Linked DNA regions of Mus musculus. The protein of the gene in region 1 interacts with the protein of each later gene in a pairwise test. Links are inferred from orthologs where the notes say so. Each region holds a gene or a part of one and is shown on either strand. Other genes may lie near its edges. The genes, in order: Tk1, Lrif1 and Unc119.

Region 1 (3,627 bases):
TGGGTTCTAAAACCTGCCTCGGAGCAAACACTAGTCATGGAGCAGTGGTATTCCGAGAGGGGGTTGGGGGAAGGAGAGGGCTCCCGTGGGTCTTCTGGCAGAAGGGTTGGAGCCTGGAGGGAGGGCAGTGCCTGTCTGGCTGCTTCTGGCATAAACTGTGCCTGTTTTGTCGATGCTCAGGTGAGACGGCGGAATGGGTCTATATTCATGCTGGCCAGGGTGCCTTGCCTGATGTTGGCCCAAGAGATTATGTTCAGTCAGGGCCAGGACTCTGACGAGTGCCAGCCCAGCCTGGACGCTTCTAATTATACATGTGCGTTTTTATAGAGCAGGCCATGTCACATGCTGTGACTATTGTGGGGATGGCTGGGTCCAGGGACCAATCACATTCATTCCAAGTTTCTGCCCTTTGGCTGTGGCATTCTCTGTCTGGAGACAAATCTGGAGCTTCCAGCTCACCTCTGTTGATAGACTGGGAGGGACTGGGGACGAAGAGAAAGGCTAGAACACTAAGGCGTGGAGCAGGAGTGTGCTCAAGAAAAGGTCTGAGGAACCAGGCAGGGTGGCAGACCTGCACACTCAGCTCCACGAACACTGAGACAGGAGATTGCTTTGAGTACCAGGCCAGCCTGGGTTACACGGTAATAACCAATCAAAAGCAAAAGATGGAAGAGATGGGGAGACAGAACAGTGAGGCCTTGGCTCTGCAGGCGTGAGTCCCTAGCACCCCTGTAAAATGCTGGGTATAGCCACGTGTCCATAACCGCAGTACTAGGGAGGCAGAGGCAGGCGGGTCCCTGGAGCTCCCTGTCGCCCATCTGAATGGCTGTGGTCTAGATTCAGTGAGAGTCCTATCTCAAACAAAGAAGGTAAAGAACTATTAAGGAAAATGCCCAGCCTTGCTGGGCAGGGGAGAGAAGCCTGGGTCTTGATTCTAGGGAGACACTGTGCTATTGAAGGTTGGCCGGCCTGAGTGACCCCGGAGGGCAGCTATCCCTGCCAACCTGCTCCTGCCTCGCACATCTCATTGCCAAGAGCCATTCTCTCTCACGTGGGATTTCTTGGTGGGAAAATGCCAGTGTAACCTCATGGTGCTTATTCTCTGGGTTTTCACTTAGGCTCTCCCTCCACCCGTCCATGGGGGCTGAAGAGCGTGCGTGCGTGTGCGTGTTTATGGGTGCCTGCAGAGGCCAAAAGAGGATATTAGATCCCTTGGAGCTAAGCTATCTGATGTGGGTACTGGGAATTGAATTCTGGTAATCTATAGGAACGAGTCATACTTTTAACTGCTGAACCATCTCCCCAGCCCTGTATGTTTTGGGACAGGATCTCATAGCTTTGAACTTTGTAATCCTTCTACCTTCAAAGTACTGGTATTATGGTGTTGGACACTGTGTCTGGTTCATTTATTGCTGGGGGTGGAGCCCAAGGCTTCATGCACACTGGGTAAGCTCTCTTCTACCAACTGAGCTACCTGGTCTGCTCCTGAAATGTATGAGTGTTTGCTATTTTTATATGTATGTCTATCAAATGTGTGCAGTGTCCATAGAAGCCAGAAGAGGTCACCAGGGCCCCTGGAGCTGAAATTAACATATGGTTGTAAGTGACCATGTGGCCCTGGCAACTGGGTCCTTTGCAAGAGTGGCACGTGCTCTTTCCTGCCGTCCACCCCGAGTTCTCTCTCTGAAAGCCCATTTTAAACATGAGCTGTGTTTAGCTTCTAAGTCTGCCCTAACAGAAGTCAGCAAGGACTTTAAGCCCAGAGCTTTGTGCACTGACCGTTCTGGAAGGAAGAGACCCTTGGTGTTGGCAGGGCCGCTTCCTTCCAGGAACTGTAGGGGAAAGTTCTAGCCTGGTGGCTCTCAACCTTCCTAACTGAGACCTTTAATACAGTTCCTCGTGTGGTGACCCCAGCCAGAAGATTATTTTTGTTTCTTACACTCTTGCCTCTCACCCCCTTGCTCCCCATTCCCTTCCCCCACTCTCCACATGGTCATGGTCGGCCCCCATGTCTCTATTCTCTCCTTTCTGCTTTTCTCTGCCTCTGCTACTCTCTCAACTCCCCTCCTCATGGCCTAAATAAACTCTATTCTATATATTTTTGTTGCTACTTAATAACTATGATGTTGCTGCTGTTATGAATCATAATGCAAATATCTAATATGTGACCCCTGTGAAAGAAAGGGTCGTTCAGCCCCCGGGGGTCGTGACCTGCAAGTTGAGAGCTGCTGTTCCAGCCTCTCTGGTGTGTAGAGGCCTCTCTCAGATGCTGGATGGAGCCTGCTGGCAAGCTCTGGGTAGCAGTGGGCAAGTGGGTGGGATGTCTTAACAGGACTGGCGGTGTGGTCTGGTCTCCGGCTCTGGGCTTACCTGCATGCTCAGCTCCCCCACGGTCTTCGTGAGGCCCTTGCCTGGGGCAGCTCACCTCATCCTCTGGACTTTTCCCAGTTTCCTGACATTGTGGATTTCTGTGAAATGATGGCCAACGAGGGCAAGACAGTAATTGTGGCAGCGCTGGATGGGACCTTCCAGAGGAAGGTAAAGATGTCTGACTCTGGCTTGGCAGAGGATCCTGAGGCAGGAAACAATATACAAGGTCTCCCCAGAAGTAGGTGTGTTCAGAATAGAAGCTATTGGCTAGTGGGTGCTCTGAACTGGCCAAAGGGTAGAGAGCAGGAGGGTGTGGCTCTCAAGAAAGCAGGATCAGTAAAGTATGATGTAGCCTGAATCATGGGGTTTAAAAGAGAAGCGTTGGCGGTGGGAAGAGCTCAAGCTGAAGCATGCTTGCCTTGCAAAGCACACAGGCTCGAGTTAGATCCTCAGGACTCTTTAAAATGCTATCACCAGGAGACAGAGACAGGCAGATCTTAGCGGCTTACTGGCAAGCTGATCTAGTCTACACTGCAAGCCCCAAGCCAGTGAGAGACCGTTTCCAAAAGCACCAAGGTAGACAGTGCAGAGGCACAGCTCCTGACGTTGCTCTCTGGCCCCCACACACATACACATGTGAACACAGGCAGAGGAGGGAGGTGCCTGGCTAACTGACCGCACACACCTGCTGTCTTCCGTGCAGGCTTTCGGCAGCATCTTGAACCTGGTGCCCCTGGCGGAGAGTGTGGTGAAGCTCACCGCTGTGTGCATGGAGTGCTTCCGAGAAGCTGCCTACACGAAGAGGCTGGGCCTGGAGAAAGAGGTACACACACACACACACACACACACACACACACACACACACACACACACACACACACACAACACACACACACACACACACACACACACACACACACACTTACTTCTGCCCAAGGAGTGGGGTGGGCTTAGGCTCTGGCTTCTGAGTCCCACCCTCACATCTCCCTCCCACCAGGTGGAGGTGATTGGGCCTGGAGAAAGAGGTATACACACACACACACACACACACACACACACTTCTGCCCAAGGAGTGGGGTGGGCTTAGGCTCCGGCTTCTGAGTCCCGCCCTCACATCTCCCTCCCACCAGGTGGAGGTGATTGGCGGAGCCGACAAGTATCACTCCGTGTGCCGCCTGTGCTACTTTAAGAAGTCTTCAGCCCAGACTGCTGGCTCAGACAACAAGAACTGTCTGGTGCTGGGGCAGCCGGGAGAGG
Region 2 (4,152 bases), on another chromosome or scaffold:
TATAACCCTGGCTAACCTGAAACTCACTTTGGTGACTAGGCTGACCTCAAATTCAGAGACCCACCTGCCTCTTCCTGAGTTCTGGAATAAAAGGTGTGCACAGCAATGTGTAGCAAAACGCATTTGATTTTTTTGTTTGTTTGTTTTAGTTGTTGTTGTCATTGTTGTTTTTTCCTAGTAACTTTGATTACATAGACAAAAGATGCCATAAAGCTTGAAAGCATTAAGGTCTGCCTATCTTTCCTGATGTCTTTAGTATGAGAACAGGGTACTTTATTGTCAAATAAATGTGCTATACAAAAATAGGAAAATGATACTTTCTCTTGACATATCAAAACCTGAAGTTCTTAAAAATCTTTAACGTTTAGCAGTTAGGGGTATGAGTAAACCTTTCTTCTTCCCTTTTTGTGAGACTAGATTTCATGTAGTTCTTGATGGCCTTCTACTAAGTAGCCAAGGGTGATCTTAAAGCCCCTATCGTCTTGCTTGTACTTTCCAAGCGCTAGAATTGCATATGTGTGTCACTAAGCCTGGTAATTCCATTTTTAAATAACCATATAAACCTTCAAATTGTCTACCTTATCAGTGTCCTGAATTTGAACACTGCAGCATACAAGATTGCCTATGTCAAATAAAATTTTATCTTTGAAAACACTTTCATAATATTCCACACCTAATTAAACTATAATTCCTCCTACCCATTAAACAGTATGATCCCAATTCTCAAATAGTCATTAACTGCAGGACTCTAGAGAATTCTTAGAGCTGGTTTCTGGAAATTAAGAGTTTCAAAAAGTTTATACAGGGGATTTAATGCACAGACACTCAAAGAATTGAATACATGACAGTAAGATACAGTTTTAACTGAGGTGTTAGTGTGGGAATGGAGAAAATGGTTAATCGATTAATGTAGAGCAAAACTTCAAGAAACAGAAAAAAATAATCACTTCTAGCCATGAGAAGGGAGATAAAGGTTTTCAACAATTTATGGCAACTACCAAATGCCTATCTGTGTCTACTGAATAAAACTGCTAAGGAGGACATTATTACATTGGCTTGCAAAAGCGCATGTACAAGTGCAGACAATTTAAGCCTGACACCGGAAGTATTTCATTTCATGTAGGCAGTGAAAGCACTTTCTCTTTTAGTTCCTCCTTTGATCCGGAAGAAGAGACCTCAACCTTCGCTGTCGATTGGACCACGTCATAAGGGCGGGGCCATGGCGATCCATTCGCCTTGGTAACCATATGTGACGTAGCTGTATGCCTAGGATCCCTGGCTCTAGGAGCTCGGTTTTAGTGGGCGCAGACTCCGATCAGGCCCTGTCGTGGGTGGTGCTATTGATGCCACGCCCCCCACGTCCTCTCTGACTGGCTGTGATGCGTCACGTAGCCAGAAGAGACTCGCCGGAAAACTGTGAGCTTGCCTGAGGTAGGAGTCTTCCGGCTTCTACAGCCACTTCCCACGGAAGCTGGGGGAGCCGCCCTCTCAACTATCTCCCGTCACACCCTTCTGTTCGCTCGCCTCAGACGCTGCCCTTCCACACCCGTGCTCTGGTTCGCGCCTACTTGGGGACGCTGTCCCCCCAGTATTCACTGCCCTATCCCCTCCCACCCATCTAAAATGTCTAATAGTCTCCAGAGCGTCATTCTGAAAACCGCAGAGGAAAAGTCAGGCTCGCGCTGGTAAGTACCAGTTCCCAGTTCTTCAGGCGCCCGCCCACACCCTGTGACTTAGGTTGTCATGGCCGCGTCAGCTGACGTTCAGCCGCGCGCACCGGGTGCTAGCTGCGGGGATGTGGGAGCACAGCGCCATCACAGCACACCTCCTTACACCGCACCCACTGCACACCAGTGCAGAGCCCTTGGCTCCCAGTCCTCTCCAAAATGTAAAGCAGCCCGCGATTACAACGCAGCTACCATCTCCTGGCCCCCAGCGCGCCCTACGCCACCCGCTCGAATTTCATAGGCGGAACAAGTAGATACCCACGGAAGTAAAACCAACTTGGCGATGCTCCAAGAATCTCAAACACTTACCAAAACACCCATCGTGGATTAGCAAGTGCAGCCCCGCGGCGCTGTAACTTCAAGTGAAAATAGTCCCATTTTAATGTACTTAGAAAATGTGTTCTAGAACAAGGGACTTTAGTATTTGAAAATTTCAACTAATATGGAGAAAAGTAAAAACTTGAAATGTGTTTTTCCAGGTAACACATTTGAAACGGGTCTAAAAGGGGTGCATCTCATTGGTTGTCTCTACAAAGGAACAGTTGGAACACTGTATGGCTCTGGTTAGGTAGGAAACTCACTATAGCCAGGACTGTCCACAATACAGCCTGGGTTTACCTCGTGTTAGGATTACAAAGGGTTCTGACAGTCTTTGGTTTGGAAATGTATCACCAGTAACATTTTTCTTTTAATTTTGTGTTAATCCAGATGAAATAAAAGCAGGAACAACAGAATATTCCTTAAGGAACAATTCTTTAATTTATGCTTTCCAGAGTTAATGAGTGCTTGTTGAGAAGCAAAGATTAGTAAGTCTGTAGAAGGTAAATGAACAACATAAAATCTAAGAGCAAAACTGATGAAAGGGGATTGTGGTTGAAAAAAGAAAATCTACCTGGTGTTTATTGCAGCTTTGTTTGTTACCATTTATGAGACTAATGTTTCACTTTCTAATAAAAATAATGGTATCAGGGAATATTTTGATAACAACAGAAAAGAAATAATTTAAGAAAGAAAGGATTATTTAAATATTTGCTCCAAGTTTAAGAACATGAATTTGTGTCCTGTTTCTAGGTTTCTTTTAGTTACAAGTATATACAAACCCAAATTGCAATGAAAAACCAATAGTGATTTTAAAAAAAACACACACACACATTTTCCTTTAAAACAATGCTCTAACAAAAACAAGTGACCATCCTGTGTCAGCCTTGCCAGTAGCTGAATCTTTAGGAAGCTGTTACTATGCAAGTACCCCCCCCAAAGTCATTAACAGTAACTAGTGAGCTGTTAACATAGAAAGAACTGTTATATAGCAATAGAGACGGCTCTTTGGTAGTCTGTATTTTGTGGAAATTTAAAGATAAATTGTATCCTATACAGAGAAGCAAAAGTAGAAGAAATGCTTTTTAGTCAATAATTTTATATGTTTTACCTGTATATGATATATTATAGATGATATAACTTATGTGTTTAAGATCATATTCTTTTCCAGTCCTATAAGATTAAGTGGTGCATTAAAGTTTTTTATTATGCCCTTGGGCTCTCTTTTAAACACTTTCTAACAATTTTGGCAAATTTTTAAGTCAGAAAAATATCTTAAATTCAATTATGTTTTGGTTACTTTCAACTTCTTTAATTCATTGGCTTATTTTCTTGTGCCTTGTTATATTTTCATGCTTTTATTTCTTAAATTTTCTGATATCATAACATATTCGGAGTAGTATTGTCATAGAGAATATTTATTACTTAATGTATGTAATTTAATCAAGCATAAAAATAGGAAACTCAGTTTTATAAGAACAATGCAAAAATCTGTATATTTGCAGTGTAGTAGTCATTTAATTATTAAGATTTGCATTGAATTCTTATTTACTCAGTTGTGTACCACAGGTAGCATAATAGCTCTAACGTTTGCTTTGGTCTGGTAACTATTTCATCTATTGGAGATTGAGTGTGCAGAAAATTTTTGGAATAGGATTGATGAGATTAAAATAGGTTTGAGTAACTAGTGACCGTGCTGATTTAGAATGAAGATTGTATTTCAGATGACTTCAGAAATCCGAGGGCTTGGATAAGATGGTAGAGAATTAGATTTAAAGAAATGGAATAAAAATTACACATACCTTATTAGGAAATTACTAAGATTTATTGAGAAGCTTTCTTGTCAATATTTGTGAATTAAATGAGACAAAGACAAATGTCCAGTTAAAATTACTGCTCTCAGCATGTGGCTTCATTCACTTGGGAAGAAAATGTTTCATTGCTGGTTGATGTCTTTGGTTGTAAAGTTTTATCTTTACAACTTCAGAGTAAACTTGGAGAGACATTAACACCATATAAGCTAACTGGACTTATGCAATTGAATTGTTGAACCTTGCTTTTTATATAAAGTATAAATAAGATTCCTTAAGGAAAGCATGTAATTCTG
Region 3 (4,283 bases), about 39 Mb from region 1:
GTACAGCAGGGTAAAGAGGAGGCAAGAAGAGTCCTGGGCTCAGAAGGAAACCAAGAGAGCCAAGCATTGCCCAGGGGCGCTCATGGTCTTAACCGTTACCACTCTTCTGTTGCTGTTTTTAAGTCAGGGTTCCATGTAGCCTAGGCTAACCTCAAATTCACTATGTGGCAGATGCTGGCCTTGAACTCCCGATCTTCCTGCTTCCTAAAACCTTACACCAAGTCTTAGGGGAGGCCCTGGCAAGAATTAGGAAGGGGCAGAAAATTGCTGTGGAGACTTGGGTACTGCCAGCCTCCGGTACCACATCCTCTCCGCTGACCTACAGAGGCCCGGAAGTCACCCCCAGGTCCCTGGGCCACCCCCTATCCCTCTGTGGTTGAAAAAGGAAGTGAATATAAAGCTATTCTCTCATCCTTCGGCCTGTCTCCTCCCCAAGCCGGGGACAGCCCCCTCCAGGAAGCCCTCCTGACAGCTCTCTAGCTCGTTGGAGCTGAGGTCTGAGATAAAGCTATAGAAAGATGCTGCAGGGCAGAGGGAGAAGGGGGGGCAGAACTGGAAGCAGAGGCCTAGTTGCCCAACTCCCAGGAAAAGCCTCCTTTCTTACAGCAGGCCCAGCCTGGAACCCTCTCCTCTCACTGGGAAGGATTTCTCACACTCTGCACTCAGTCTCTTACACTGCAAACTCAACTTGTGGGCCTCTCTGCCCTTACAAGGAGCGAGGATCAGGGGCTGCCTAGGAAGGCAGCCACTTCCTCTCCTCAGCCAAGAAAAAGACGAGGCCTAGGACCCAAGGTCAGGCCAGAGTAATGAGCAGAGTGGCTCAGAACCCACCTGCTCTCGTCCTTGTGGACAGAAATAGCTTCCTAATCTGGATTCAAGGCCTGGTAATCCAGAAACAGCAAACCTCAGCCCTGTGTGATTAGGGTCACAAGATGCAGGCAAGGTGGAGAGGCCTGGAACCCTGTTTTCAAATCCTGCACAGAAAAGGGCTCTTAAAGAGGCACTTGTCTTAACTCATCCTCCACATGCTATGCCATTTCCTCCAGACTGGGAGACACATGCTGTGACTTCACCTGGAAGCTTCCTCCATTGCAAAATAAGCCTCCAGTTATCCAGGCCAGAGGCCAGTGAACCTGCCCTCCAACGCACAGGGCCAAGCTAAGCTGTAAGGTCTCCTGTTGCAAAAGGCAGCAGCCCACGGGCTTCCACATCAGCCTGGTCAAGGCCCCTCCCTCCACTGAGGGCTGCCTGGCCAAGGAAGCAAGTGCTGGGGAAGTCTAGCCAAGAATGCCGCTGTCTAGCCCTGGAAGGAGGAGGGAGGCCCCTGGGGACCCAGATGCACAAGCTCAGGCCTGTCATCCTGGTCCCCTCCACAGCTGTCTGGGAGCCCTGGGCTCTGCTGCTCCTGAGGCTAGCGGGTTTATTTCCACACTAGCACCCGTGTCCATCCCAGAGAAGGGAAGTCTAAGCTCACAAGTGGAGCCGGAGCAGGTTGCTGGTGACCTACCCATTCCAAGGCAACCCGCCACTGTCTCTCCAAATACCTTCCATTCCTCAAGGCTCAGCCAACCTTTTGCCAGAAGACTCTCTAGTCCTTGTGCACTGTCTGTAGCGGTGCCTGCCTTGGCCCTGAACGATCACTTATCTGCCTGCAGGCAGCCACTCTGAACAGTCCTATGTAGCTTCCAACACTGTTGATAAAGGAACCCTGTTGACAGCGTGCACAGCATGCCAAACATTGTCCAAAATCAGAAGACTGGCTTTATTTTTCACAATAACCTTGAGGGAGGTAACATTGTTCTTGTTCCCATTTTACAGATGGGAAAAAAAAAAAAAAAAAAAAAAAAAAGCAAACATGCTCCTGCAAATGAAATTACATCCCCAAGGTCACACAGCCAATTTCCGGGCAAACTCTGGGACTCTAATCCAGGTAGCACAGCTCAGAAACTCAGTTTCAGTGGAGACTAGCCTTCCCTTGATGAGAGAGCCCTGGAAAAAGAACAAGTCCTGACTTGGGGGGAGGGGGGTCACGCACTTGCTTCCATCACAGGGCCCACAGCCAACAGACGGAAGCACCCGTATCAGCAATGTTCCTGGGCAGAGTATGGCCTCAGCCTTCCTCGGGGAAGCAGAGTGAGGGCTATAACGGTCGGTCAGGGAGCCTGAAGGTTTTCCTTGCCTCCACCTAGCCTGATGTGGCCACTGAAGACAGCCTGCAATGAGGCACACTCCTCTGTGCGAGCACCCTCAAAGGGTTCCGAAGACTCCACTGGGGAAAGGGTTACAGATGCAGCTGCTGCCCCACCTCCACCATGGGAAAAGGGGTGGGCCCCTTGAAAAAGAAGGAGTGGGGTGAAAAGAAGCCACTTCAAGGAGAGGAGGGGGCGCATCAAGAGACCAAGGGAAAGAGCACAGAGATTTCAGGCTTGGAGGCAAAGAGAGAGAGAGTAAGGGGATACAGAGGAGGGGCACTGCGTGGGGGAGGGGTGGGGGCTGGACTCTGAGCCTCGTGGGCCCCCTCCCGCGCTCTCCCTCCAGCCCGCGGGTGGCGCTCCCTCGCCGGTGCTCACCACCCGTGATCCGCTGCAGCCCCAGCACATCCTCCGGCCCGATGGGCTGCTTGCCCTGCAGCGGCCCCAGCCTGGGCCCCGGGCCTGGCTCCGGCTCCGACTCGGACCCGGACTCAGCTTCCGCCCCAGGCTCCCGCGTGGGCTCCGCGCTCCGGTTCGAGGCCCCTGGAACGGGCTCCGCCCCCGACCCGGTCCCGCCGCCGCCTTTCTTCACCTTCATGGCCTCGCGGGGCCGCAGATCCTCGCCCGCTGCCACCGCCGCCGCTGCTTGCGCCGGCTGGAGCCAGGGGAAGGGGGAGCGTCCGCCGCCCCACCCCCGGCCGGGCCCCAGGTGCCGTCCCGCCTTGGTCACGCCCACGGGAGGCGGGTCACACATACCCCGCCCACCGCCTGGCGTCTCCAGCGGGGGAGCCAGAATCCTGGGGGTCCTTGTGAACTTTTTGACAATGTAGATTCTTTTTGACAATGTAGTTACCGAATACCTCTCCTCTTTCTCTCCTGGGTTCCAACCTCAAGGTCTTTCCCTGATACCTTTGTCCTGACTTCAGCCCAGGTCTCAACCCACCCAGTTCTAAAGTACTTCTTCTCAATTTCCAGCTAACCAGCCCTTTTTTTTTTGTAATACATTAAGTGAAATTCTTGCTTGTTCCCTGACCCTTCCTCCTCAAAGGTCAGCTCTATGAAAGCAGAGATGCTCTATACACTGTTCCTCGTAACACCCTAGCACTACCACACAGCTCCTTGCAGCCAGTACCCACCCAGTATTTTCCTTTGTTGAATTGAGTTGCTATCCCAGGGCTGTCACTGGCTCAAGCTACTCCCCACTAGAACTCCTGCTAAAAGCTGCTTCAGGCACCCTACAATCCGCAGGCACCCTACAACATGCAGGCAGCACAGCCCAGGTGTCGAGCCGTCCCCAGGATGCTCAGGACGGGAGGCAGGAAGAACACATGGTGAGCTAGAACAGGTCAGTCTGCTTCTCACACAAGAACGAGTTATGGTCATCCATATCAACTCATATTCAACCAACGTTTAATAACAGTCTAATGTATGTTTTTAAAGAGCCCAATATACAGAACACTTTTACAGGCTTATCACATTTAATCCAGCCCCTTTCTGAGGGTGACATCATCAGTGCTTTCCCACCAATGGAAACCTGAGGCTCAGGTGAGGAGCGAGGAGCGGCTTAGCTGATGCTCTCTAGTCTGTTAAGTGCAGAAGCCGGAGTCTGATTCAGGCCTGTTGGGTTCCAAGTCAGAAATGTTTTCTCCTGTTCCACACTACCTCTCTGAAAGGGTAGAGGGGAACCTTAGCCACAAGGTAGAAGATCCTAAGCCACTGCCTCCTAGACCAGGCTGTCCCCAGTGGGTGACGCCAGTCAAGAAGCTGAGGAAGGAGGGAGGTGGTCTCAGAAGTGGAGAGGACAGGGCTACAATTCAACTCAAGTACTCCCCTAAATTCACCTCTCAGTGCGTTTGTATGCTGTGCTGACAGGCTGCAAGGACAAAGTACCCCTGTCCAGAGGTAGGCACACAAAGGCTTTCAAGTTCGAGCCAGATATGGAGATCAGGAAGGGTACCTTCTGAGGCTTGTAGGCATGGAGGAGCAAGCCAGTGGACTAGGAGGGGAAGGGAGCCCATCGTGGAGTGCCATCCGTAGAGAGCCCACGGGCGAGAGTGAAGACATGTCATCACCAGCAGACCTTGCCTTGGT

What was found.
Region 2: the proteins of Tk1 (region 1) and Lrif1 interact in a two-hybrid assay, tested with the Homo sapiens proteins (2 studies listed by BioGRID and IntAct). The link is inferred for Mus musculus from reciprocal best matches to the Homo sapiens genes TK1 and LRIF1.
Region 3: the proteins of Tk1 (region 1) and Unc119 interact in a two-hybrid assay, tested with the Homo sapiens proteins (2 studies listed by BioGRID and IntAct). The link is inferred for Mus musculus from reciprocal best matches to the Homo sapiens genes TK1 and UNC119.

The regions. Positions count from the first base shown.
Region 1 is NC_000077.6:117,816,013-117,819,639, reverse strand, and holds part of Tk1 (thymidine kinase, cytosolic), read left to right. Parts: intron 1-2,448; coding exon 2,449-2,538; intron 2,539-3,073; coding exon 3,074-3,193; intron 3,194-3,367; coding exon of another isoform or gene 3,368-3,457; exon of another isoform or gene 3,458-3,494; intron 3,495-3,500; coding exon 3,501-3,627. UniProt on the Homo sapiens protein: Cell-cycle-regulated enzyme of importance in nucleotide metabolism. Catalyzes the first enzymatic step in the salvage pathway converting thymidine into thymidine monophosphate.
Region 2 is NC_000069.6:106,720,422-106,724,573, forward strand, and holds the start of Lrif1 (ligand-dependent nuclear receptor-interacting factor 1), read left to right. Parts: upstream 1-1,260; 5' UTR 1,261-1,623; coding exon 1,624-1,685; intron 1,686-4,152. UniProt on the Homo sapiens protein: Together with SMCHD1, involved in chromosome X inactivation in females by promoting the compaction of heterochromatin.
Region 3 is NC_000077.6:78,342,074-78,346,356, reverse strand, and holds the start of Unc119 (protein unc-119 homolog A), read right to left. Parts: upstream 2,863-4,283; 5' UTR 2,791-2,862; coding exon 2,571-2,790; intron 774-2,570; exon of another isoform or gene 675-773; intron 1-674. UniProt on the Homo sapiens protein: Involved in synaptic functions in photoreceptor cells, the signal transduction in immune cells as a Src family kinase activator, endosome recycling, the uptake of bacteria and endocytosis, protein trafficking in sensory neurons and as lipid-binding chaperone with specificity for a diverse subset of myristoylated proteins.